Linked DNA regions of Oreochromis niloticus. The protein of the gene in region 2 purifies or fractionates together with the protein of the main gene of each other region. This does not show direct contact. Links are inferred from orthologs where the notes say so. Each region holds a gene or a part of one and is shown on either strand. Other genes may lie near its edges. The genes, in order: psmd5, psmc6 and ecpas.

Region 1 (7,976 bases), on a different chromosome or scaffold from region 2:
TCTCTCTTACGGTTGCACCAAAGGTTTCCCATCAGGTTGAGGTCTGAACTTTGTCTGGGTCATTGCATTGACTCTAGAGTACTTTGGTATCAAGAGGAGTTCATGGAGAAGCCAGTGACTGAAAGGAGCACAGATCCTGTGCAAAACAAACCCATCATCACTCCTCCACCACCGTGCTTAACAGTTGGCTTGTGTAACTACCAACCGCAGGGTGAATAATCTAATGTGAAGACTGGCTTCTACCTTGAATGTTTTCCACTCGTGAATAATTTCTCTTACTGTAGAATGATGGACTTTGGAGATTTTTGGAATGGCCTTATAGCACTGTTGCCGCACAGCAAGAAGGTCCTGAGTTCAATTCCACCATCAGGCCGGGATCTTTCTGTGTGGAGTTTGCTCTGGGTTCCCTCCGGGTACTCCGGCTTCCTCCCACCATCCAAAGACATGCAGCTTGTGGGGTTAGGTTAATTGGATAATCCAAATTGCCACTAGGAGTGAATGTGAGTGTGAATGGTAGTCCGTCCCTGTGTGTTAGCCCTGCGTCAGACTGGCGACCTGTCCAGGGTGTACCCCGCCTCTCGCCCTATGACAGCTGGGATAGGCTCCAGCGCGCCCCGCGACCCTAAAAAGGATAAGCGGAAGCGAATGGATGGATGGATGGCCTTATAACTCTCCCCAGATTGATGTGTAGCAGCATTTGCTCCACCAGGGTCATCGCTGATGTCTTTCTTCTTTAGAGTTGTGTTAACAAACATCATAGTAGATGTAGTTTCATTTTTAGTTTGTGTTTCTTGTCTATAGAGTATTAGGGAATACAATATTGTGAGCCACTTTATGGTATATGGCATTTTCGCAGAAGTGCTAGTAACGTCAAAGGACAGTTTAACTTAATTTGTATTTGTGAAAAAATACATTCTCAGACTTTCTTGCACGAGACCCAAACTTGCAGACCTTTGGCACTGTAGTTCAGTCAGTTTGCTGAAATAATCTGGAGACATCTTGTCTGAGGGGCTGTTTTTATGGCCATACTGGCCTCACAGCAGGTTTGTGGTGCCCTTTGCTGGCCTCTCCATTAGAAACAGAGTCCCAGTTTATTCTCTGAATAGTTCTTGAATAGTTTGGAGTTGTGCTTCTGAGCATTGTAAGAGGAAATTTGCGCCTATAAAGTTGTTTCCCAACACTCTGGAATAGCACTGCAAAATAAAATGATAGGTGCCCCTGTCCAAGATCTTTTTTATCCTGTACAAATGTCCCACTTTGCCACCATCAAAGCATCCCAGATTGTCACATTTCTCCTTCAGGCCAGACAGACGGGGTCGGCCTTTCCTCCCGCATCATTTCATTTGTCTCACAAATGTTCCAGTACCTGCTGGATTTATCTGTTCAGTCTCCCAAACATTCCTTTCTCAAGTCTTCTTTTTTTTTTAATTGTCTGTCTCTAATATTGATTTTCTTTGCATCTCTGTCTCTAAGTCCAGCATGCTGAAGTCTCCTCTTCACTGCTGATGTTGAGACTGATGTTCTGTTTGAAGAAACTGCCAAGCTGAAGACCTGTGTGACGCCCGTGTCTCAGATTGAAGACTAACATACTTGTCCTCTCGCTCAGTTTTTCATCAGAGCCTCCCATTTTGCACTGTCCTTTGAAGGGAGCAGGACACACCTGCTTATATGGAAAAATCAAATTTCTGACAATTTCAGTGAGAAATAAATGCCAGTTTTCATTTATTACCATAACTAGATGAATGGATAGCAACAGTCAGTTAGCAGTTTTACATGATAAAGTTGCATTAGTGAACACAATGTAGAACACAGCAGACATGGTTGATGAGAATGTGGTTCTGCAGAACTACGTAGGTATTTTATAATTATTGGATTTATTGGTTAATAAATCCAATAATTATTTTTATATATGGAGTATTTCTGATTAATGTTCTGTTTTTTTGAATGAAAATCAAAATCAAAAACACCAACCAACCTGTACTGGCTGGTATTCTATTTTTTCTTTTTATATCAATAATAGCTTATTTCTATTTTTAATAACTATGAACTATATTTTCATGTAATTATAAAGCCAGGTCTGTCAGTGGACAAGTAAACCTGCCTGAAACTCTTTCTGACACCTCTCCAAGCATTTCGGTCCATGTTCTGGTTTAATTCGTTGGTTGCTCTGCCTCTTTCTTTGATCCGGAAAAGCAAAGTGCATGCTGACATTTGGATACTGTGCAGACAACACAACAAGGATTCCATCTATCAAGCAGAAGAACACTCGCTGGCCTAAAACAGAACTTTTTTATGTGATGCAACTCTGCAGGTATTTGTTAGAGCATCAGATCTCAGCCCACCACGGAGCCTGCGCCCTGTGCCAAACCAAACCTCCTGTTTTAAACAATAATTAGTTGTATTTCCATTCATTTATCCTCTTATCCTCTTTCTGACACTACTGTGACATGTCCCCTCCAAGCACGACTTCAAGTGATCAATTCAGCTGGAGATGGTGGAAATATGTGGCTTTTGGGTTTGGGCAGCATCCCATTTCGTCAAAAATAGTAGACATGCCTATCTGGAGAGAGCATGGGAATAACTGTAAAGCTGGCAAAATAACGATGGCTGACTTTATTAGGAAAAAATTTAGATAGAACAAACAAACACACACGAATATCCCCTTCCCTTTTTTTTCTTATTACCAATGAAAAAAATGTGATTAAAAATATGATTAACTGCTGTAAAGAATTATTTGTGGAAATGTTGTCATTACTAACAATGGTGCACTTTCGCTACAACAACTCAACTTGTCACCTGGACCACAAAAGCCGTCATTAGTGAAAATATTTTATTACTGAACCCAATTAGATCTTCTTCTTCGGCTGCTCACCAGAGCGGATCATCTACCTCATCTCACCCTATCCTTAGTGTCCTCTCTGTCACACTACGTCCATGAATCTTCTTAGCAGTCTTCCAGTTTTCCTCCTGCCTGGAAAGTCCATATTCAACATCATCTCTGCATCGCCTCTTGATTAACTTTTATTAACTAACTGCTCGACCTGTTAGTTAATATGTTTGAATGAATGTTTGAGTTTCTCATCCTGACCATTCTGGTCACTCAGCTCCGCCTCCTAGCTGCTCTCACTACCATCTTGTAAACCTTCCCTTTCACACTTGCTGATATCCTTCTGTCACAAATCACCCCCGACACTCTTTGTCACCTACTCCACATTGCCTCTTTTGCATTGTCCATTGATTTAAATTGTTCACCCCAGGCATTTAAACTCATCTACATTCACTGCGTCTGCTTCTTCATCTTTCAGCCTGTCACACTCATTCAAACACATCTATTTTGGGTTGCTTCCTCTTCCCTCCAGAGCATGCCACCACCTCTCCAGTCTCTCTTCCACCTACTCCCCACTCTTACAACAGATCACAATGTTGTCTGCAAACATCAGCGACTCCTGTATGACCTCAGTAGCTACATTGACTATCACCATCACAAGAAGGGGCTGTCACATCTGTCACTTCTACACCTCATTGGTGTTTCACTGCCCTCAAACATGTACTGCACCATCCTCACATACTGTTCTTCCTTGTCACACTTGACTTCTTCATACAGCACCACAGATCCACTCTTGGGACCCTATCACATGATTTCTCTAGATCCACTAAGACAGAGCGCAACTCCTCCTGACCTTCTCTGTACTTCTGCATTAATACTCTTAAAGCAAACATCATGTGTGTAGTGCCTTTATCATGAAACGAAGACATACTATTGGTCACTGATTATCACCTGTCGTGTTACCTTAAGTTCCCATAACTTCATCAGCATCATGCCTTCTGTAGTTTCTACAGCTCTGCACATCACCCATAATGGCTGCTGTATTTCTGTAAATGCAGCTAGTTTTGCACTGAGTTATCACTCACTTCTAAACTGACGATGTCTCTTAAACCATAAAACTTAGCAGTTTATATCAGTGTCTGTCTCTTCTGGATATCTCCTTTCCCTACTCCTTGTAGTTTAAGTGCCACAGTTACTCCACTGATTTTCTAATAAAGGTGCAAAAGTGTGCAAACAGAATGAACAAAACATTTGATTTGTCACTGTCAGAAAAAAGCCAGCAGTTGCAATTTTAATTTATTTATTTGTGTGATTTGAGCTGTGTGCAAACAGGCCTACCAGGTAGCTTCTCTGCAGGCCTCAATCTGTGCGGGTTAGATGATGATATATACAAATGCATGGTCCTGGAGTATGGCGGGAGCTCTTTCACTAAAATAATGACTTCACTATTATTTCTATTACAGCGAATTGGGCACAGAGGGAACTGTGTAACGATGGAGTTCACTTTGAGGCCCTTCCTCCGGCTGCCACCAGGGGTCGCCTGCTTCCAGCTGAATTCAGCTCAGCCACAAACACTGCCCGCCCGGGGTTTCGGTCCTCTTTCGGAATAATGCGGGAGTTAATCTACTACTAATACAAGAGTTTCATCTCTCATCTCAGTTTTTAGACAGAGGGATAATTAGTCTGTTAGGTCCAGTGTGTTCCTGTCATTTCCAGCGTAATTAGCAACAAGCTGCAGCCACGCTGAGTCTCTGTTTCAGCCCACATTGAAAGTTCGGACTTCAAAGTTTTTAAATTTTAATTACCGGCCAGTAAATCCAGAGTTATGATAATATATATATAAGCCATGCTTTTTACTAAATACTGTCGTCACGTTTTTGTGTGTGTGTATTTTAAGCGTTTTCTAAGGACAGCGCGAAAACAGTAAAGAAAGGGGGAAAAAAGCCACCTCTTTCCTATCGGTGGAAAAATGCACCATGTCGACCAATTTAAAAAAAAGTCAACATGTGGGATTTGGTTGTTTAGGAAGAGGGGAGAGTTTTGGGAGTGACGGTAACGGCAGCAAGACAGTGTACACCAAACACACAGGCTGTTTCTGCCTGCAGGAAGATGCGTCAAGGTGGCCGCAGTTAGCAGAACACGACCGGAAGTGAGCGTCTGGGAAAATCTAAATTCGTATAAACTGGTTTTACAAGAACAAAAAGTGTTAAATGAGCAGCTGGACCAGGTAAGCCTTAAGGGAAAAATTACTGAATCACCTATCTACAGTTATTGAGTAACCAGAGTGCTGCCCTCTCACACATGCTTTACACTGGGCAACATCGCTCTTTAACTTTACATCTGCCATTTCTAGCCCCCTTTCTCTAGTACCTACTCAGCACTAGTTGCGGATCCTAAATGCTCATATTGTGCCATGATCACAATTACAGACTCACATTACAGACTCACATTTGGAGACACTGGCTGCTCCTCTAATTGTTTGCTTTTGTCAGAGTAGAAGAAGAAAAATTCTTTGCATACTTTACTAGTTAGGAGTTTAGGGTCTACAGGCATATGAGGTCTTAGCAACAAATTAACAATAACAAATAAATGTATATTATCATAAACTTAAGCATTGTCTTAAACTCGGAAGGTTCTATAGATGACTATGGACAATTGAATAGTACTAAAATATTTTTTTAATAAAATGCTTCAGAAAAACAACAATAAAAACAAAAAGAAATGCACCCACCCCCCCAAAAAAGAAAGAAAAAGAAAACCCAACACTATTAGATGCAGGATCTTTTCATTACCAGTAATCATGTCAGTTGTTGGTGTTAACCTGAAAGTTATAATACAGCGCAATTTTATTATTGAAGTTACACTTTGCAAGTTGTTTAAATCAAGGGGGACACATGGAGAGGGAGGAGGTGATAGGGCAGGGATCACGTAGAGCAGAAATGAAGGCTGTTGAGCCAGATTAAACCTGAGGACCGACCAACATGTACGCCACTGCTGTGTCCCTATGATCGGTCAAATGCCATGACATATAAAGTCTTTATTGTCTGAGTTTTTACCTGATGCAGAAAGACAGTCAAACACAGTGGAACTTGGCCAAGTTGCAGGGAGCACATTTAAGTCTTTGAACTGCTATGAACTGTGTGTCAGCAGAGCAGTTTTCGACAGACTGGGAAAGTGACTTCTCATTCTTTAAACTAGTAGGATGTTAATGGCTTAATGAAAAACGGGGGGAAATTTTTGATTAAAAAAATTATATAACATTGGTCAGAAATGTTGAAATTACTCTTGAATAGTGTAAAAGTACCAAACCATACTGACGTACAACAAGTAAACATATATAACTATTAGATAATTTGGTTATTGGCTAGAATTTGGCAAGAAATAAAAAGAAGAAAAGAAAAGAAAAGAAAAAAACAAGGACTTTGGGGATCCGAAATAAGTGGAGCATCCTTCTCAGTCCAGCAGGTGGCGGTAATGTGCCATATTGTTAGATAGCCACCGTATCCGGAACCGGATGAAGAAGAAATCAGTTTGGCGGATACGTTTGGCTGAAGTCTCCCAAACACTGCACGATATGGCTGCTTCCATTGACAGCTTACTGGAGGAAATCGCTGGGGTTGAAGACCCAGTTGAAGAACTTCAGAGTTTAAAAACTGCTCTGTTGGCGATTCCTGTCAGTGCCTTGAAGGACTCAGTGAGAGGACAGCGTTTAGATGTCATATTCTCTCTGCTCAACTCCAGTGACAGGTGGGTTTGGCTTTGTGCATCAGCTAAACGTTGGTGAATAAGTGCTGAGTCAGTCAGTGGGTATAATATATGTATTGCTAACAGTTAGCTATATTGACACTAAGTTAACGTACAAGAAGAGTTTATTAGTTAGCTTAAAAGGGCTGCTTGAAACTGAGCTAATTGTTAGCAACTGGTTACAGTGCTACTAACAACACAGCCCCAGCAGGACACTGTTTGACATTTAAAACACCAACCTGGCCTTAAAAGTGCTTTGGTACATCAAATATTTCCACACTGACAGCTGTGAATGGTATTTTCTAACACTGTACAGACTAACCATAGTTAAAATAAAAAAATAAGAAGGAGCTATATTGATTGTTAAATAAATAAATACTCACAGGGCACAGGTGGAGCTATGCGTAGACATCCTTGAACGCATCTTAATGGCCATGAGCCCTGTGCATGTGGTCCAGAACTACAGAGCGGAGCTGCAGCGGGGGTTGACTCACCCAAATGACACTGTTAAGATACTGGCCTTGGCACAGGTAGGCTGCTCGCACACATACATGCACAGAAAGTATCTTATAAAACACTGAAAATATTAGTTAATCCCACCTACTTGTGTCAGATTGGGAGAGTGGTGGAGGACCCTGATGCTGTTACTGAAATTCTCAACAACCACGACGTCCTCCGAGCAGCGATCCGGTGCATCGGAGAGGAAAAGATGGCTGTGGCAAAACAGGTGATGAATAAAGCATTATAATTACTCGCGTTTTATAAAGTGTCAGTGCCTGGAGTATCTGTTTTTCTTTTGTTTTATCTCAGGCGATTCAGTCCTTGTCTAAGTTCAGTCATTCCAAGCCTGGATTAGACAAATTATTCCAGACTGACCTGCTGCAAGTCATGAAGGATGTGATGGCCACAAGTGACATTATTAGATACAGAATATATGAGGTATGTTCAAACTGGGTTATAACATAGCATCAGCATCCCTTGTAATGATTTTAAATTCTATTTACTTAGATGGAATCGGTTGACAGCATGACATTACTTACACATACTGACTTAGGTCATTTTATATATTGTATACATGTCATGTACAGAGTTTGACACTTTCATATAAATGATCTTAAGAAGTTTTTTTGTCCTTTCTGCTTGCAGCTGGTGGTGGAAATCTCGTCTGTATCTCCTATTTCTCTCGGTTACTGTGCCAACAGCGGCCTCATTTCTCAGCTGCTCAGCGAACTAACAGGAGACGACGTATTGGTCAGGTAGTACAAACTAAGTTTGACTGCTTTTCTCCTTCTTTCATAAGTGTTTCTTCTTCATTTATGCTGTTAATTTGTTTTTTACCAGGGTCACAGCTGTAGAGATGGTTACAACTCTTGCACACAGTCAGCATGGTCGGCAGTATTTGGCC
Region 2 (7,603 bases):
GGGCTGGCTGGTTAATATTGCCAGTTCACGTCCCCGTTTCACTGAGCTGACCAGCCCCTTGACCAACCTTACCCAACACAGTGCCCCAGAACTGGTCCAGTGGACAGAGCAGTGCCAGGCCGAGTTCATGCAGCTGAAGAAGGTTTTTTGTTGGGAACCCCTGCTCCACACTACTAACTTTTCCCTCCCTTTCTTCCTGCAGACTGACACTTGAACACAGGAGTGGGCGCCGTTTTGTCCCAGCAAATAAGTGGGATTGACCACACAGTCATTTGCATCAGCCAGAAACTGTCCAAGTGAGAGGCCAGGTACAGTACAGTGGAGAAGGAGTGCCTGGCTGGTGGGTGGTGGACTCCTTTTCTTATTACCTCTCGGGCAGAGTTGATCCACACTTACCGGCCTGAACACCCTCTGCTGGCTCTGATCCATGCCTCTTTGTGCCTGGAAACATGGATTCCACGTAAGGCAAAGACTCTAATGTTACTCACTTGTGGACAATATAGTTTACTTCATTTCTGGAATCATCACCTGATCTAACTCCTCACTCGCTTAGATCTTGCACGGTTCCTCACTGACTGTTCCCATTTCCCCAGCAAGCTCAGCCTCTTGCCCAGGTTAATCCTGCTCATATATTTCTCTTGACTGAATAAAGCTTTGTAACTATTGTTTCATGCCTCATTCGCTATCTGGCTCTACTGCTTGAGTCCACTTGTTTTATCCCTGTAAATCATTACATGCATTTAGATGATGCAACCTTTTGCACCTTGTGAACAAAACAAACTACAGCCAGTGAACTACCAGTCTTTGAAGTAAACTGACAAAAAGTAATCTAAGTAGTGTAGTGAGTCATGGTTTACAGAGTTAAACAAAAAATTGATGCCTTTTCACAAAATGACAATGTTATACTTCTATATGTGTAAGTGTCACGATGACTGAGCACATCCTCACAGTTTTACTCATGAGGAATCTTGAAAATGCTAACAATTTAGGTTTAAATTACAGTCATACTGTTTGCAGAAGTACATTTTGTCTAATTTGGCTTTTCTTCTTCTGCCATGGGTGCTTCCTCTTATGGGCCAGCTTGACCAACAGCACAGATTTCTTCCACTGAATCCCACAAACTCTTCTCTAAATCTTTGGAAAATATAGAAACAACATAGTTTCAGAAGTTTTAATGCTGGCCTCTTGCTGATGTGTTCATTTACTCCCTCAGAGGTGAATCTGCTGCTGGGTTCTCCTGATCTGACTCTATCTGTTTCTGGATCATTCAAAGACTTAAATTCTGAACAGATCTACAGTTTAAAACTTGTTATACCTGCGCTGGATTAAACTGTAAATCATAAGATAATGAAAATTACATGCTATGCTAGTCTGAGTGACTGGGGATAATATGATGGACTCCATACCAACGATAACAAAGTCTGATAAGTATAGTATTTTTGCACCAACACTGTGAATCCCAGTGAGCTATTAGCTGAAAACTTATCTCAGCATAGTTTGCATTATGTTCTTGAAATTTTTAGGAAACTGGACAAGTAAACGACACAAGAGTGTCAGGCCTAAAAGACTATCCAGAGAAGATGAACAGTATCTGAAAGTCATATCCCTAAGAAATGGGGAAAAAATTCCAGCAAAGATTTGATTTAGGACCTAAGAGATGCACTGGTCCCTCTAGTTGATTCATCTACTGTTTGCTTAGGCCTATTGAGAAATGGTCTCAGTGGAAGGGGCTGTAAGGAAAAAATCATTTAGAAAGGGAAACGGCGAGAGAAGGCCAATATATGCAAAATTACATAACAACTGGAGTGAAAATTTTAAATATTATCAGTTTGTATGGAGGAAGACGGTGGACCATGAAATACCATCTGGAAAACATTTGATTGGCTTTAATTTCCGCAATAACAACAATGTCAAAGACACTGGCAATGCAGTAAAAGCATACGTGGATAGAAAAAAACAAATACAAGACTATGAGGCATGGGTTGGCCATCAGTATTACTGAAACAGTGTGGGATCATACATCAGGAACCCCGGACAACGATTCCTGACTGCTTAAGGAAATTACAAGAAACCTTGCCTTAGACCAGTGATTCCCAAACTTTTTTTTTGCTAGGCCTCCCTTTGCTTCACAAGAAAATCTTCGCACATTTTAGCAATAAAATGAACTACTAACTCTTTTATGCTACGTCCACACCTACACATGTATTTTTGAAAACGCAGCTTTTTCTGTGCGCTTGGACCTTCTGTCAACACGTAAACTGCGTTTCGAATCACTCAGTTTTTGCGTTTACGTGGTGTGGACGAGGAACACGGAGTTCGTCACGCAACGTCAAAGTATGTGCCTTTTTTCACGTCACGCTGTACGCCACGTTATTGTTTACATGAGATAAATTTCTACAATGGCGGATAGAGACAAAATACTGTTACTGTTAATCTTATTATCTGCAGTTTTTACACGCTTACAAATACAGACGCAGTTACTGTCCCTCCATTTAGAAAAGCAGAGGCGTCAGGGTGTAATTATTTTACATGCAGTTGTTTTTTTCCCCCGTGTAATAATATTCAACATTGCTATCAATACATTTGTCATAAAATGCCTCTCTGTGAAAAATGGGTTCAAAAACATAAACAACTGTGGGATACTGTTTGTCTGTGATTTGGACAGGGGGAACAAATTGTGGCAGGATCAGCCTGATATTATTTGTATCCCACTGTAACTTTACTGTATAAAGAGCCAACATCTCCAAAATGTCAGGAGTAGTTATTCATTATAAGAAGTGTTTGTGAACTAAAAATCAAGAATGTGGGATACTGTTTGTCCATGATTTGGACAGCCCAGCGCGTGCTCCCGACGCAGGGGAAACTAATTCTGTCGGGGAGACCTACCTTGGCCATTGTACAGGTGAAGCCAAAGGCAAGATATGCTTCATCATATTTTCTCAACATACTTGGCGATGCTTCATCTTCTGCTTTGCGTTTATGTGGGAGCCCGTCAAAAACCTGTGCATTATGCTAGCAGTGTCCAAGCGTTCTTTATTTTAATTTTTTTTATTCATACCCCTTGCCTCCAGGGGGCGCCCGGCCCCCCACTTTGGGACCTCTGCCTTAGACAGTTCAGGTTGTGTTGAAGGTGGTCATATTAAATTTTGACCTTTTTTGGCAATCACAATTATAATCTCAATGCACTGTTGTACCAAACACATTCATCTTTTTCTAAGATGAGCTCTGTAAATTCTCTATAGGCTCCTCTTGTTTATTTATTCATTTCTATTAGTGTTATTTCATTTATTACATTATATGTGTTGTATGTCTAAACTGACAGGCAGCAGAAAAATATATCGATTAAACTTATACCTGTTATGATCAGTATTAATCAATTAAGCATGATTAACTATCAGCAAAATCACATATAAATAATGATTCAGTGCTTAACAATGACTACATACATAATAGTGCTTCTCTGATTTAGAATCATGTATGAGGATGGGCTGGAGATACATTTTTTATCTTTTCACATTCCTGCAGCCACACACAAGCAATAATCTGCTTTGCTGCAAGTCACCTGCTAATCGGAAGGTTGGTGGTTTGATCCCTGGCTGCCCCAGTCTGCATGCCAAGTATCCTTGGGCAACATATTAACCCAAAGTTGCTCTCTGATGCATGTGTGCTTAGATAGAAAGTACTTAAAGCATAGAAGAAAGTGACATGGGTGAATGTGACATATTATATAAAGCGCTTTGACTGAGGGAGAGTAGAAAAGCGCTATATAAGAATCAGTCCATTTACCAAAGTCAAAGCTGAATCACATCTACATGCAAAATCCAGACATTACAACAGACATTTTCATTACTCAAACTGTTTTCCTCATTCATCATATCAAGTGGAATTATACTTTCACTATATCTTTGATTAAGGATAAATATAATTTATTATTAACAAAAGCATGTATGAATAAACTCTGTTTTAGCACGTTGCATCACAACAAACATAAAAGGGCTGGATGTTGAGTTATTTTACCCTCTCTCAGATATTATGACAGGTGAGTCAGGGGTACTTCAATCTCTTTCAACCTATGGTTTAAAATCAGGATATGATCTGAATGCACCGTTGTGCCAAACTTATTCCAAGTTGAGCTTTTATCTTTTATTCATTCATTCATTTTATTTATTGTTTACAGTACATAAAAATACATTTGTAATACAGCAATGCTAGAGCTAACAGGCAGGATAAAAAAAGAAAAAATGATAGGGGGATAGATATGAGAGGAACACTAATAAACAAGACACTCGTGAAAGACAAAAAATATGGAAAAACACAAACTAACAGTCTTATTGTGTTGTGTTTGTGTGTGCTATAGAGAGAGCACTGACAGGAGCTGGAAATAGAGCATATATTGGCTTCTCTTGTTAAATCCAGAATCGCGAGCAACTTGAGGCAACTGTTGATGGGATTTGGGGCCATATAAATAAAACAGGATTGAATCGAATCGTGTGTGTGTGTGTGTGTGTGTGTGTGTGTGTGTGTGTAAATATCAATCCCAGCGAACAGCAACATCACGGAGCGCGAAATTTCGGCATCCGACTGAGGTAAGCGAACGCACCAACAGTGGAGCGACACCGCATTTTCCCATCATTCAGCGGGGCGTCATGGCGGACACTAGAGAAAAAGCGCTGCAGGACTACAGGAAAAAATTGCTGGAACACAAAGAAGTTGATGGGCGACTAAAAGAATGTAAGGGATTATTTAACACTAATATTTGCGGCGTGCTAGAAATTTGTGTTGTTTAGTTGACTGTTTACTTGTAGATGGACAGCCAGCATTGATTAGCATACCAGCTAGCTAGTGCTTTGTCATGCAGTTAGCTTCTCGGTGGAAATGTATGGAGGCTACCGGCTCTCGCTACCAGCTTAGGTGTATAAACACGACAGTGATACAGTTCGTCCGTTCATTGGATAATTCATATTTTAAGGCCAGTTAATCTAAGAATGTGATGTCATTATTTATTAACGTTATCAAGAGCTATAAGTAAAGCTAACTTCTGATTTCACGTTGATGCGAGCATTAGCTGTAACAAAATGTTCCAGTTAGCTCTTAGTGTGTGTATGAAACATGTTGGCTGTCCGTTGTTTTCCAGTGAGAGAGCAGCTGCGAGAACAGACCAAACAGTACGAGAAATCAGAGAATGATCTCAAGGCTCTCCAAAGCGTCGGTCAGGTAAATATACCGTGCGGAAATTAATCATTTGGCTTCAACTAAAGACTGAAGGTTAACGTTGTACATCAGTGCATTCACACTCAATCAATGCAAACAGAAGACCATTCACTTGTTATCTGATGACAGAAATCTGAAGCCAGTTAGTGTAATTAGGTGTGCAATATTTCTGGCTGTTGTAAGTCAACAGCTAGAAACAAGCAGTTTCCACCAATGCTCTACAGCGCTGAACACTTTCAGCTGACTAAGCTGCTATAGGTGAGAAACTGTAACAGCAGACAATGTCAAAAAAGTGATTTTTCTTTTCTCCTTTTCTCCTTTGTGTCCCAGTTAAAGAACTAATAGTGAGGCTGTAGTACACAAAGCTAATGTCAACACAAACAGAAGCGACCTGATGTATTCTTTATTAGCTAACTATGTGTCTTCCCTGCAGATTGTTGGAGAAGTGCTCAAACAACTCACTGAGGAGAAATGTAAGTCATACATTCCCATATATAGCAAAGGTAGAAAAGGCTGAATAATTTTATACATCTCTTTAGTCTTCTACTGTCAGGCTCATTATGCAACACCTGTGTTGAAGCCTGGTAATCAATGGAAATAGCAAATGTGAATCTGTGACTTGTGTTACGGTGTTAAACTCAGGTGTGTGGTTTGTTTGTTTGTTGACTGAAGTCATCTGTTCTTTGCTCCTTAATTACAGTCATTGTAAAGGCTACCAATGGACCCCGATATGTGGTTGGATGTCGCAGGCAGGTAAGGGTTGATCACATTCTAGTGTTTGTGCTGTCTTGTAATGCAGAATTTTCTTTGGGGTTTGGAAGCCCTCTGTAATCACATCTGAGAGCTTTGAGTGATAAATCATTTGATTTTCATCATTTGACAATGATGAGGAAATAAAAATAGGTTTACAAAAGACTCTGTACCAATGTATGTCTGTTTCTTTGTGCACAATGTTGTAAATCAGCTGGAAGTACTCCATTATTCAGCACTGAGTTATGTCATTTTTAGAATGAAACTTTCTCAAAAAATGCTGACTTGACTGTATAAAATGTAAACTCTAATCTTTTTCATTCCAGTTGGACAAATCCCAGCTGAAGCCAGGGACCAGAGTGGCTCTGGACATGACTACGCTTACTATCATGAGGTAAGGTGGATATGATGACTACTTTGAATTGGTTCACCAGGATCGTGTCTCACAGCACTAAGAAAAAGGTTTATAGAGGCTGGGGTCTAACACACCAGGTAAGACCCCAGGTGCAGGCTGTGTAAAGAAGCAGTGAGATCCAGCACATAACAGCAGGGTGCAAGATGCTAGCAGGCAGGGCAAACATTGGAACACCATAACCAAGTGGCTGGCATAGTATACAGAAACATCTGTCCCGAGTGTGACCTGGAAGTCCAGAGGTCAAAACGGAATACGACCCAGTGGATGGTGATGGCTGGTGGTGGCTAACCAACAGTATTACCATTACCATAGTAGTGGACAAGCAGAGGAAGGTGGCTGTAGTGATAACAACCTCAGGAAGAAGGAACACAAAAAGCTCAAGAAGTACTAAGGGCTGAGAGAGGTGCTCAATAAGATGTGGAGGGTGAAGGCAACAGTGGTCCTAGAGCACGTGGTTATCGGAGCACTCAAGCTAGTGACCCCCAAACCTGGCGAGTGGCTCGAGCAGATCCCAGGAAATGTGGAGCTTCCCAAAAACCCAAACTCAGAACACAGCATCTTTTATCAGGTTGTTATTCAGAATAAGCTACCATGGTAATTCAGCCAGGAAAAAAGAGAGCTGCTTTGATGACACAGGAAAGCTATGACTGAAATTTCAACAAAGTGCTCTCCTGCTTTGTAGTACGGCCCTCAGCACTGATTAATAAACAATAGATTTATCACAGCACACAGGTTTGTTTACTTTTACATCTCTGAATTAATAAGTCTGCTGCAGTGGGGAAACTCCATATGGGTTTGCTTTATTGGCATTATATGACATGAAATCACAGTTGCAGCTCCCTTTAAACATCAATATAAAATAAATAATTTTCATACTAGTTGTGCGGGCTTTCATCGACCTGTAGGGCTTGACTGAAGGCATTAAGCTGAACAGATAGGAGCTGGGTGGGAGGAGTCTTTCAGGATGATTTTTGCTCTTCTGCATCTGGAATTGGCGATCTCCTCCAGGAAGGGGAGGCAGAGAGCATCTGACGATCCTCTGTGCTGTGTTTATGACGCTCTGCTGCTTCCACTGTACCACACTGAGATGCTGTAAGTAAGTACACAAGCAGCTTCTGGTTCAGTCTCTTTTTACTGAGGATTGGCACAAAGTGCATATGGTGCATCACCTTCACTGCCATCGCCCGTGTATTCTCCAACCATGAGAGATCATGTATGATCGCAACT
Region 3 (8,009 bases), on a different chromosome or scaffold from region 2:
TGACTAGCAAAAGACTGGGATGGCCTAGATTAGTTGGTAAACAACTGAACTTTCAAAACATTGGCAAGGGGGACCAAATCTACCAAATCAACAGGGCATTGAGCTATCCACGCAGACAGACAAAAACAAGTCACCAAACATACTTGGATGGGCATAAATATACTTGGTCGGCCTGCCCAAACACTGAGCATATTATCTTTCCAAACAGATAAACATATAAAGCCAGTACTCATCCTCCCAGTTCAGTTTGTATACCTGCTCCAGCTGTTCAGCATTCCACTGAGCTTCTCCAATCACCCTCTTGGCAGCATAAACACTCATCCCCGGAGGAGGCTGAGGGAGACCCTGACTACTCGCAGCCACTGTCCCATCTCCAGAAGTACCCTGGGAGGAGGAGGGAGCGGGGCGAGTTGGAGATTCATTCAGCACAAAGCTAGGAGGAGAAGGACACTACAGGTCAGCAATTTGTGGTAAAAATACTTCTCAAAAGCAAATAATTTCACCAGAGGTAGGTCTGCAACCCTTATTCGCTTATGAATCATCAACTCACCCATAAGGCATCAGTAAAACATCTAACATGAACTCCAACAGCAGGTGCATTGTCTTTGGCCGCTCAGTTAGGTTAAACAGAGAAGCACTCTTGGAGGTGTCAGTAGGATACTTTATGTGGTAAAGAGTAGGGATCAGCAGGTGCATCAGACTAAGAGAGAAAATAGAGTATGGACAAGTCATTTTAAATTAAGAATAATAAGCTGATATCTCAAGATTGCTTAACACACGTTACACAACCACATCCAAAATGCGTGTTTGGATGCATCCCCTCACCTGTCCTGCTGTGGCTGTGGTTTTCCTTCCATGGCAGTGATGAGGGTCGGGGCTAGCTCACACTGTTTTACCACCTCCAGACGAGGGTAGCCCATTTTAATGTAGATGATGGTGAAATTCTGTGTATAAATGTGACCATCAAAACTCTGCTCTCAATAATAGGCCAATTTTTAAAAACCCAAGTCAATCTAGGATCACTAACTAGATTAAAAAAACCACATAAACGTCAACTCAATCATGTGTATTAAATGGTGTGTTTTTTAAAAAAAAACAAAGGGACAAAAACACTGATCTGATTAAATCCCATGTGGTAACTGTGTGATACCTTACCAACGCTGTTCATTAGCCCATAAGGCAATCACGCCCACAAGGCAAACACGACATCCTCCACTACATGGCAAACATCCTAATATGAGATTCTTACCGTAACGAAAGAGGCAGCTGCAGGGTCTTGGTACTGCACAAGCAAAGTTTCTACTGGAAGTTGAATCTTAGGCCGGCTTTTTATCCTCTTATTCAGGTGGACCAACAACTCCATTACCTAGCAGAGAAGGTGCAGTTTCCACATTTTATTACGTAGTTAAATTAGACAGATGCATAAACAAAGTGAAAGGGAACTAAGCTCCTTGAAGAACCTTTGCATCTAGAGAACTGAGTCTATATCTCTGCTACACCTTCAAATAATTTTTTTCTGGGCTGAACTTTGAAGTAATGATACTGCTAATGATACTGCTGATACTTTATAAACACATCTCCCTTGTAATGCAGTCATTATAATCTCTTAAGTAACAGAGACAGGCTACACCCTTCTTACTTTCTTCCGCACCCCCTCTTGAACGCTGGAAAGCTTGAGGAGAACAGGGGGTAGGAACTTGGAGATAATGTCCTGCAGCTGTTCATCTGTCTCTGCATGGCCCAGGCGAAGGAACACACGTTCCAGTTGATCTGTCAAAAACACATATAATACCCTTGTTAACACATTTTCCAGGCGGCATTTGTCACACGCTAATTATTGGCCCCATCATGGCTAATTTCGCAATATCTTTCTATTCAAGTATCTCACAATACACCCCAAAGAGGTGTCTGTAACACAGAGACTACGACCTTCAGTTTAATATAGAGGGAGAGCAACATGCATGCTTAAAACGGTCTTACGGGCATGTTGCTGCAGTTCTGCTGATAAGTTCGTCCTGTCAGCTGCTGTGCTGGTGCGACCATCACCCAGCCCTGCCTTCCTTCTCCTGGCATGGCTCACCAAGCACCCAGCTAGCTACAACAACTGACAAGACTATTCACGCATTTGATCGTTTCTGTATTATTCAACTAGCTTTTCACTTAAGGTCACATCCTGCAGGTCAAATCCCCAATACCCCGAATATCCTAGCAGTTACTGCGCACTTTCAAAGTTTCATAAAATTATATATATTAATAGCCTACGTGATAGTTTCATTTTGACCATGACTGGGCAAACGGCCTCCTGACGATAGCATTCTGGTTAGCTTAGTAGCTAGCTATCGCACCTACCCCTGGTTTTTAACTAAAAGAAGCTTTAGCGTTACACAAAAAAGCACCTCAACTGTCAGGGCGGATCAGGCATTTTCCTGGATACGTTTTTAGAAACCACGAGTGCGACATTTGACAAAATATGAATCGCCAATAACCCAAAAAGAAACTTACTGAGTTCATCCTGGGCAGCCATGTTTGCAGAAAGTCAATCAGCGACCCCCCAGTTTAGAGAGTGTTACTGCGTCCACCGGCGCCACTCCTAAGCTACTGCTTCATCACCCCAGACACCAAAAACGATTAAATGACACACAAGAAATCACAAGGAAGTTTTGTACATTTAAGAGAGCCTACATGCTCTTATTCTACAGGCTCTCACGACAAATACAACGAGATAGATCGCCCTATCACTGGCATCCTTTTCTGTCACACCAATCGTCTGCATGTCCCCTTCATTACATCCATGAATCTTCTCTGTGGTCTTCCTCTTTTCCTCCTACCTGGCACCTTGTTATCCAGCATCCTTTGTCAAATATATCCTTCCTCTGCACATGTCCTCTCTGACTTTGTCTCCAAACTGCTCAACTTGAGTTGTCCTTCTGATCTACTCACTTCCATTGAAATTCTTAACCTCTTTAGCTCCACCCGTCTCTTTTTTTGTCAGCACCATCATCTCCAAACCATACATCATAGCATGTCTCACATTTCCCATTTATTCTTGCTGCTATTGTTCTTTCACAGCTCACCCCTGACACAAATACACTCTCTCTCGTACACTATCCATGGTTTTGGCTGGTATTTAAACTTATCCAACAGGAGTCCATGGAAACTCCATGGAGACATGCCTGACCTCATCAGTCAACCTATCCATTGCTACTACAACCCAGAAGAAGCTTGTAAGACCCTATACTCCCGATTTAATCCCAGCCCCACCATGAACCTATCTGTCACTGCTACTGCACACCTCACCACTCTCTCACTTTTCTCATACATGTCCAACACACTACTTCATTTCACTTCACTACAAATACACTGGGCTTCTTTAAGTTTCCAGTCCACTTGCTTTTCTTTACAAGCTCCTTACATTACCATGACCTGGATGACTGAGAACCTTCACAGACACCTTCTTTTCATAGCTGTCCTCACTTCCTCCTTACTAATCCTCTGCACTTAATGATTCACCAACTTTCCTCCTCTCTCTCTCGTTTTCTTCATCCATCAGCTCCTCAAAGTACTCCTTCCATCTTCCTAGCACACTCATTAGCAGCTCTGTCCTAAATCACTCTAACCAGCTGCACATCCTTTCCAGGTCAAAATCTTTGCCAGTCAACCAGTACAAGTTATCTATTCTTTAGTGTCCAGCCTTGCATACAACTCACTATAAGCTGTGTCCTTTGCTTTTGTTCCAGTACTGCTGTCCCCCCTCTTTCTTCGTCATCCTCTTCCTTCAAATGAGTTCTTGTACCCTTTCCTTCCACCACCAAAGTCTCATTGTCTACTCTCCTCAGTCCAGGGGATACACGAAATAACTTCTTTGTACAATTATTCACAAATTACTAATTCAGTACTAATTCTGGAGCATTAAATCCCAACCTAACAAACCTCTCACAACCAGGCAACCCAAAAGTTATTTTCATCAGATGCCAAAAAGGCAGCCTAGGCTAAGTTAAGCTACTATTAAAAAATCCTTTGGGATTTAATTTAAGCTTAATTGTTTTAGCTCTTGATATTACAAATTGCACAATTAACTCCAGATTTTTTTTAAAATTTATTTATAGATTTAAAAACAAAAATAACTTTCTCCTCTGGGTCTCAAGGTGCAGCTATAGAAATGACAAAATATTAGACCAGCACTTTTTTTACTTTTTAGCGCTGGGGATGCACGTGCACTTACTACCTACGTCTGTGGCTGCGTTCCAGTTCACGGGCTCGCCTCCCGATCCGCAGATCTCACAGCGCCTGGATAGGTTACTGCACCACGGCCGTGCCTGTGGAGGCGGTGTGGGACACCGCCGTGCTGCACGGCACGAATCAGCAGCAGCTGTCATGTGAATCAGCTGTACGAACAAGGAAGGGGATAAACAACAACACGACCCGAGTCTTTCTAAATCAAGGTAAAATAAAATAAAATAAAACTCTGTACACTTTAATGCGGACATGATGTGAAATACCGGCGAAAATTGTGCAGAGGAAGCTAGCTTTGCGCCAGTTTGTGTGAAAGCAGGGTGCATTTCGTGACTCCTGTGCAGAATTAGCCGAGCTATCAACAGCTAAGCGTTAGCACTGCCACAAACATAAGTTGGCACGCTCTCATGCCACTGGACATCTCGCGCTGTATGCTTTGGCTTTGTTTGTTGGTCTGTTGCTAAACTTGCATAAGAAATAACAGTAGAGAAGTGCTAGATGAAATGTTCTGCACTACATAAAGTGGCGAAGGGGGTAGCTACAGGCCTGTGTGCAGCCTTCTTGTGAGGGGCATTTAAATCCCATTGACTCGTGCAGTAAGAAGTTAGCTAACGCGATAGGTGGCTTAACTTAACAGTTAGAAATGCTTTGCCCTCTCTAACTGTTAGCACCAAATACTGTTGAGCCGCAATGCCCCACGAACACACATTAAATTAAAGCCGGTGGGTATCATTTAAATATAAGCGAGCTAGTCAGCCGAGCTAGCAAGCTGCGCTGTTTGTTCAGCCATTATTTGGCATCCTAACAAAACGTAGGCTAGCTGGCTAGTTAGCTTGTTGGCAGACAACAAAGATCAGCAAAGCCAGAGGCGTTCAGGCAGTGTTATTAATGCGTACATACAATTCTGCTGTGATTTAATGGAGATATTTATTTATCCCAATATATATATTATGCCAGACGGAGGTTATGCAGGGTTTTAAAACGATTGTTTTAACACTCTGACAAAGAGTAAGGATGTAAACATTGTGCTTAAGGATTTTTAATCTCTCAACCCAGAAAACTTGTTCCAGCCTGTGATTGCCTATTACATAATTAGGTCGCATGCCACTAATTGGGTCTCATGTAATGTAGATTGCAGTGAAGTAGCCTTATAAAGAAATATAAGGCCAAACAAACACAACAGCTTCACCCGTTGATCCTTTGTCTGGATACACAGGAACCTCAGAGTTGGGAGTGGGATGGGTGGATGGGACAAAAATCTGAAAAGGGTTGTTGGCATGAGCAAGGATCAATAGATCATATCCACATTTGTCGAATCTCTATCTCCATCTAGTGGCGAACCTGTCAGTTACACGCAAGTCAGTTACCCAATGGGTTAAAACTGCTAATGAGCACAAGATCTCCAAGTAATGCGATTTGTATTTTTTGCAGTCGTCAGAAAAACTGAAGAATTTCTAACACTATAACTATAATGAAGCTATTTGAAATTATATATCATTGTGATGAGTGTGGAAAAAGTGAAATGGGAGGTGAACAGTTGTTAAATGGCATTTTGTATTGTATTTTGTATTTGTAACAAGAGTTGGTGCTGGGGGGTGCAAAACCATCTGTCCCCTTGTTGCTCTACTCCTGAAATTCATTCTAAATAACTAATACCCTGCATTTTTACTAACCATAGACAGTATAGGGGTAAAGTATTTTGACAGATACAGATACTTTTTATGTGAATTTTAAAATTCATACAAAATTCACATTAATGTTGGAACATCATCAATATTTTCTGTTTTTCTTTCTCCTCAGGTTTTACCTGGTAAGGTGGCAGGATGGCGGGAGCAGAGGTGCATACCGCTGCAAACCCCACCTGCAAGATTATGACCTTCAGGCCCACTATGGAAGAGTTCAAGGACTTCAACAAGTATCTGGTTTACATGGAGTCTCAGGGTGCACATCGGGCAGGCCTGGCTAAGGTAAGTAGTGAGTTGAATCAGACCTTGGACAGCTATTTTTTTAAACTTATCATATAGTTACTATATCTTAGTGAGTGGGTTTACATTTTATACATAGTTTGAACCGAAGATGGATTTAGTCAATCAAAAGAAGGAAAAGGAGAATGATGTATAGTGTGACATATGTAAATGCACAAGGAACTGACTTTTTGTTTTGGACAGATACATTTCCTACATCGTTGTTTTTGATTCCTCTGTTTATCCTTCAGGTAATTCCTCCTAAAGGCTGGAAGCCCCGTCGCACCTATGATGACATAGATGATTTGGTCATCGATGCTCCAATTCAGCAGATGGTAGCCGGCCAATCAGGGCTCTTCATTCAATACAACATCCAGAAAAAACCTCTGACAGTGCAGGAGTTCAGACGATTGGCCAACAGTGACATGTGAGTTTTAGCTAGCTGGTTTACATGCTTCGTTAACTCTAATAATCAGGAGCAAGAGTTCTTAAATTCACACAAATGTTTCATTTTGATGTTGTCACAGCAAAAAACCAAATTTCTTCAGAGTTTATGACTATTTACAAACCTTTGTAAAAGGCCTGTAAGGTTTTGTATACTTATACTAATAAAGAGAAATTGACCACAAGCTGGCAAAAACAGTATTAAACATGACCATTAACAAAATAGAATAAAGGAGAATAACTCAAATATGATCGAATGAAATGAAATGAATGAAAGCGTAATAAGGTTAAAATTACATAAAAAGGAGGTCAAGTAAACGGAAAGAGCAGTAAATATACATGAATCAAACAAAGAAGCTCAATATGTTAAAAAAATACACACATACCATAGAAAGCAATGTAAAAAGCTTAATATACAAAAAGCCGGTCAATAATTAAAAATCAAAAATACAATAAAAGTGAATTTTAAAAAAAGGTAAATGTTTAAATGAAAGACTATGTTAAAAACTGAATAGAGAAGTAAGTACGATGTAAAGAAGCTCACAATCAGTAAAGTAAAATAAAAATAGGTTACTAAATCTAGCAAAAAAAACACAAGCATAGCAAATATTATTAAAACAAAGTCCACGTACCCAAGTGTAAAGTGTGGTTAAGAGTAGAAATAAGTTGCTTTGGTGTTGGTCTCATTGGCTCTGATTCTGCGTCTCCGGTTTAGACCACAGCAAAGTACTTGTACAACTTCAAGGATCGCTGTCTAATGTCAAATGAAATTTCTTTCTTTTTCTCACAGGTACTGTACGCCTCGCTACCTGAATTATGAAGACCTTGAGAGGAAGTATTGGAAGAACCTCACTTTTGTTTCACCCATATATGGTGCTGATGTCAGTGGCAGCCTCTACGATGAGGTAGATGGATCTTTCATCTCTCTGTTTTTGCTCTTTTTTTTTTTTTCATGCATGTTGATGCTAAAGCCAACCTTTCTAGTTTAGCTTTCTCTTATTACATTCCCTGCTCAGTTTTTACAATTCGTTTTATCATTAGCAAAATAATAGCAAAATTAAATTGACTGATGATCAGGTTCATGGCCTGTTCCTTTGTTATTTCATGACGAATGAAGCAGATAATATTTGGACTTAATGAGTGTGGAACATGTATTCAGTGCCTTGTGAAACAAGTGTCAAAGTCTACCTTCATGAATGGAAGTACAGAGAGTTACAACAAGGTGCAAATCACTGGTTACACTCAAAAACAAGAAGTCTGGATTAAACTTTGACAGAAAACATCTAAAATAGCCAGAACAGTCCTGGAAAAATCATTTGGACACATGAAACCAAGATTAACTTTTACCACAATGATGGGTAGAGAAGA

The links.
Region 1: the proteins of psmc6 (region 2) and psmd5 purify together in Homo sapiens (co-immunoprecipitation; 4 studies listed by BioGRID and IntAct, counting the BioPlex papers as one, with this or other methods). This does not show direct contact. The link is inferred for Oreochromis niloticus from reciprocal best matches to the Homo sapiens genes PSMC6 and PSMD5.
Region 3: the proteins of psmc6 (region 2) and ecpas purify together in Homo sapiens (affinity purification with western blotting; 3 studies listed by BioGRID and IntAct, with this or other methods). This does not show direct contact. The link is inferred for Oreochromis niloticus from reciprocal best matches to the Homo sapiens genes PSMC6 and ECPAS.

The regions. Positions count from the first base shown.
Region 1 is NC_031972.2:16,544,093-16,552,068, forward strand, and holds the start of psmd5 (26S proteasome non-ATPase regulatory subunit 5), read left to right. Parts: upstream 1-4,926; 5' UTR 4,927-5,054; intron 5,055-6,284; 5' UTR 6,285-6,341; coding exon 6,342-6,574; intron 6,575-6,956; coding exon 6,957-7,101; intron 7,102-7,184; coding exon 7,185-7,298; intron 7,299-7,381; coding exon 7,382-7,510; intron 7,511-7,717; coding exon 7,718-7,827; intron 7,828-7,912; coding exon 7,913-7,976. UniProt on the Homo sapiens protein: Acts as a chaperone during the assembly of the 26S proteasome, specifically of the base subcomplex of the PA700/19S regulatory complex (RC).
Region 2 is NC_031980.2:28,556,859-28,564,461, forward strand, and holds the start of psmc6 (26S proteasome regulatory subunit 10B), read left to right. Parts: upstream 1-4,559; 5' UTR 4,560-4,646; coding exon 4,647-4,731; intron 4,732-5,134; coding exon 5,135-5,214; intron 5,215-5,644; coding exon 5,645-5,684; intron 5,685-5,911; coding exon 5,912-5,964; intron 5,965-6,287; coding exon 6,288-6,355; intron 6,356-7,603. UniProt on the Homo sapiens protein: Component of the 26S proteasome, a multiprotein complex involved in the ATP-dependent degradation of ubiquitinated proteins.
Region 3 is NC_031971.2:23,753,528-23,761,536, reverse strand, and holds the start of ecpas (proteasome adapter and scaffold protein ECM29), read right to left. Parts: upstream 3,082-8,009; 5' UTR 2,851-3,081; coding exon 2,829-2,850; intron 2,618-2,828; exon of another isoform or gene 2,525-2,617; coding exon of another isoform or gene 2,503-2,524; intron 2,416-2,502; exon of another isoform or gene 2,397-2,415; intron 1,771-2,396; coding exon 1,640-1,770; intron 1,367-1,639; coding exon 1,250-1,366; intron 945-1,249; coding exon 826-944; intron 701-825; coding exon 551-700; intron 434-550; coding exon 256-433; intron 1-255. Other genes in the region: kdm4c (lysine-specific demethylase 4C), read left to right, coding at 6,057-6,200, 6,449-6,624, 7,432-7,546. UniProt on the Homo sapiens protein: Adapter/scaffolding protein that binds to the 26S proteasome, motor proteins and other compartment specific proteins. May couple the proteasome to different compartments including endosome, endoplasmic reticulum and centrosome.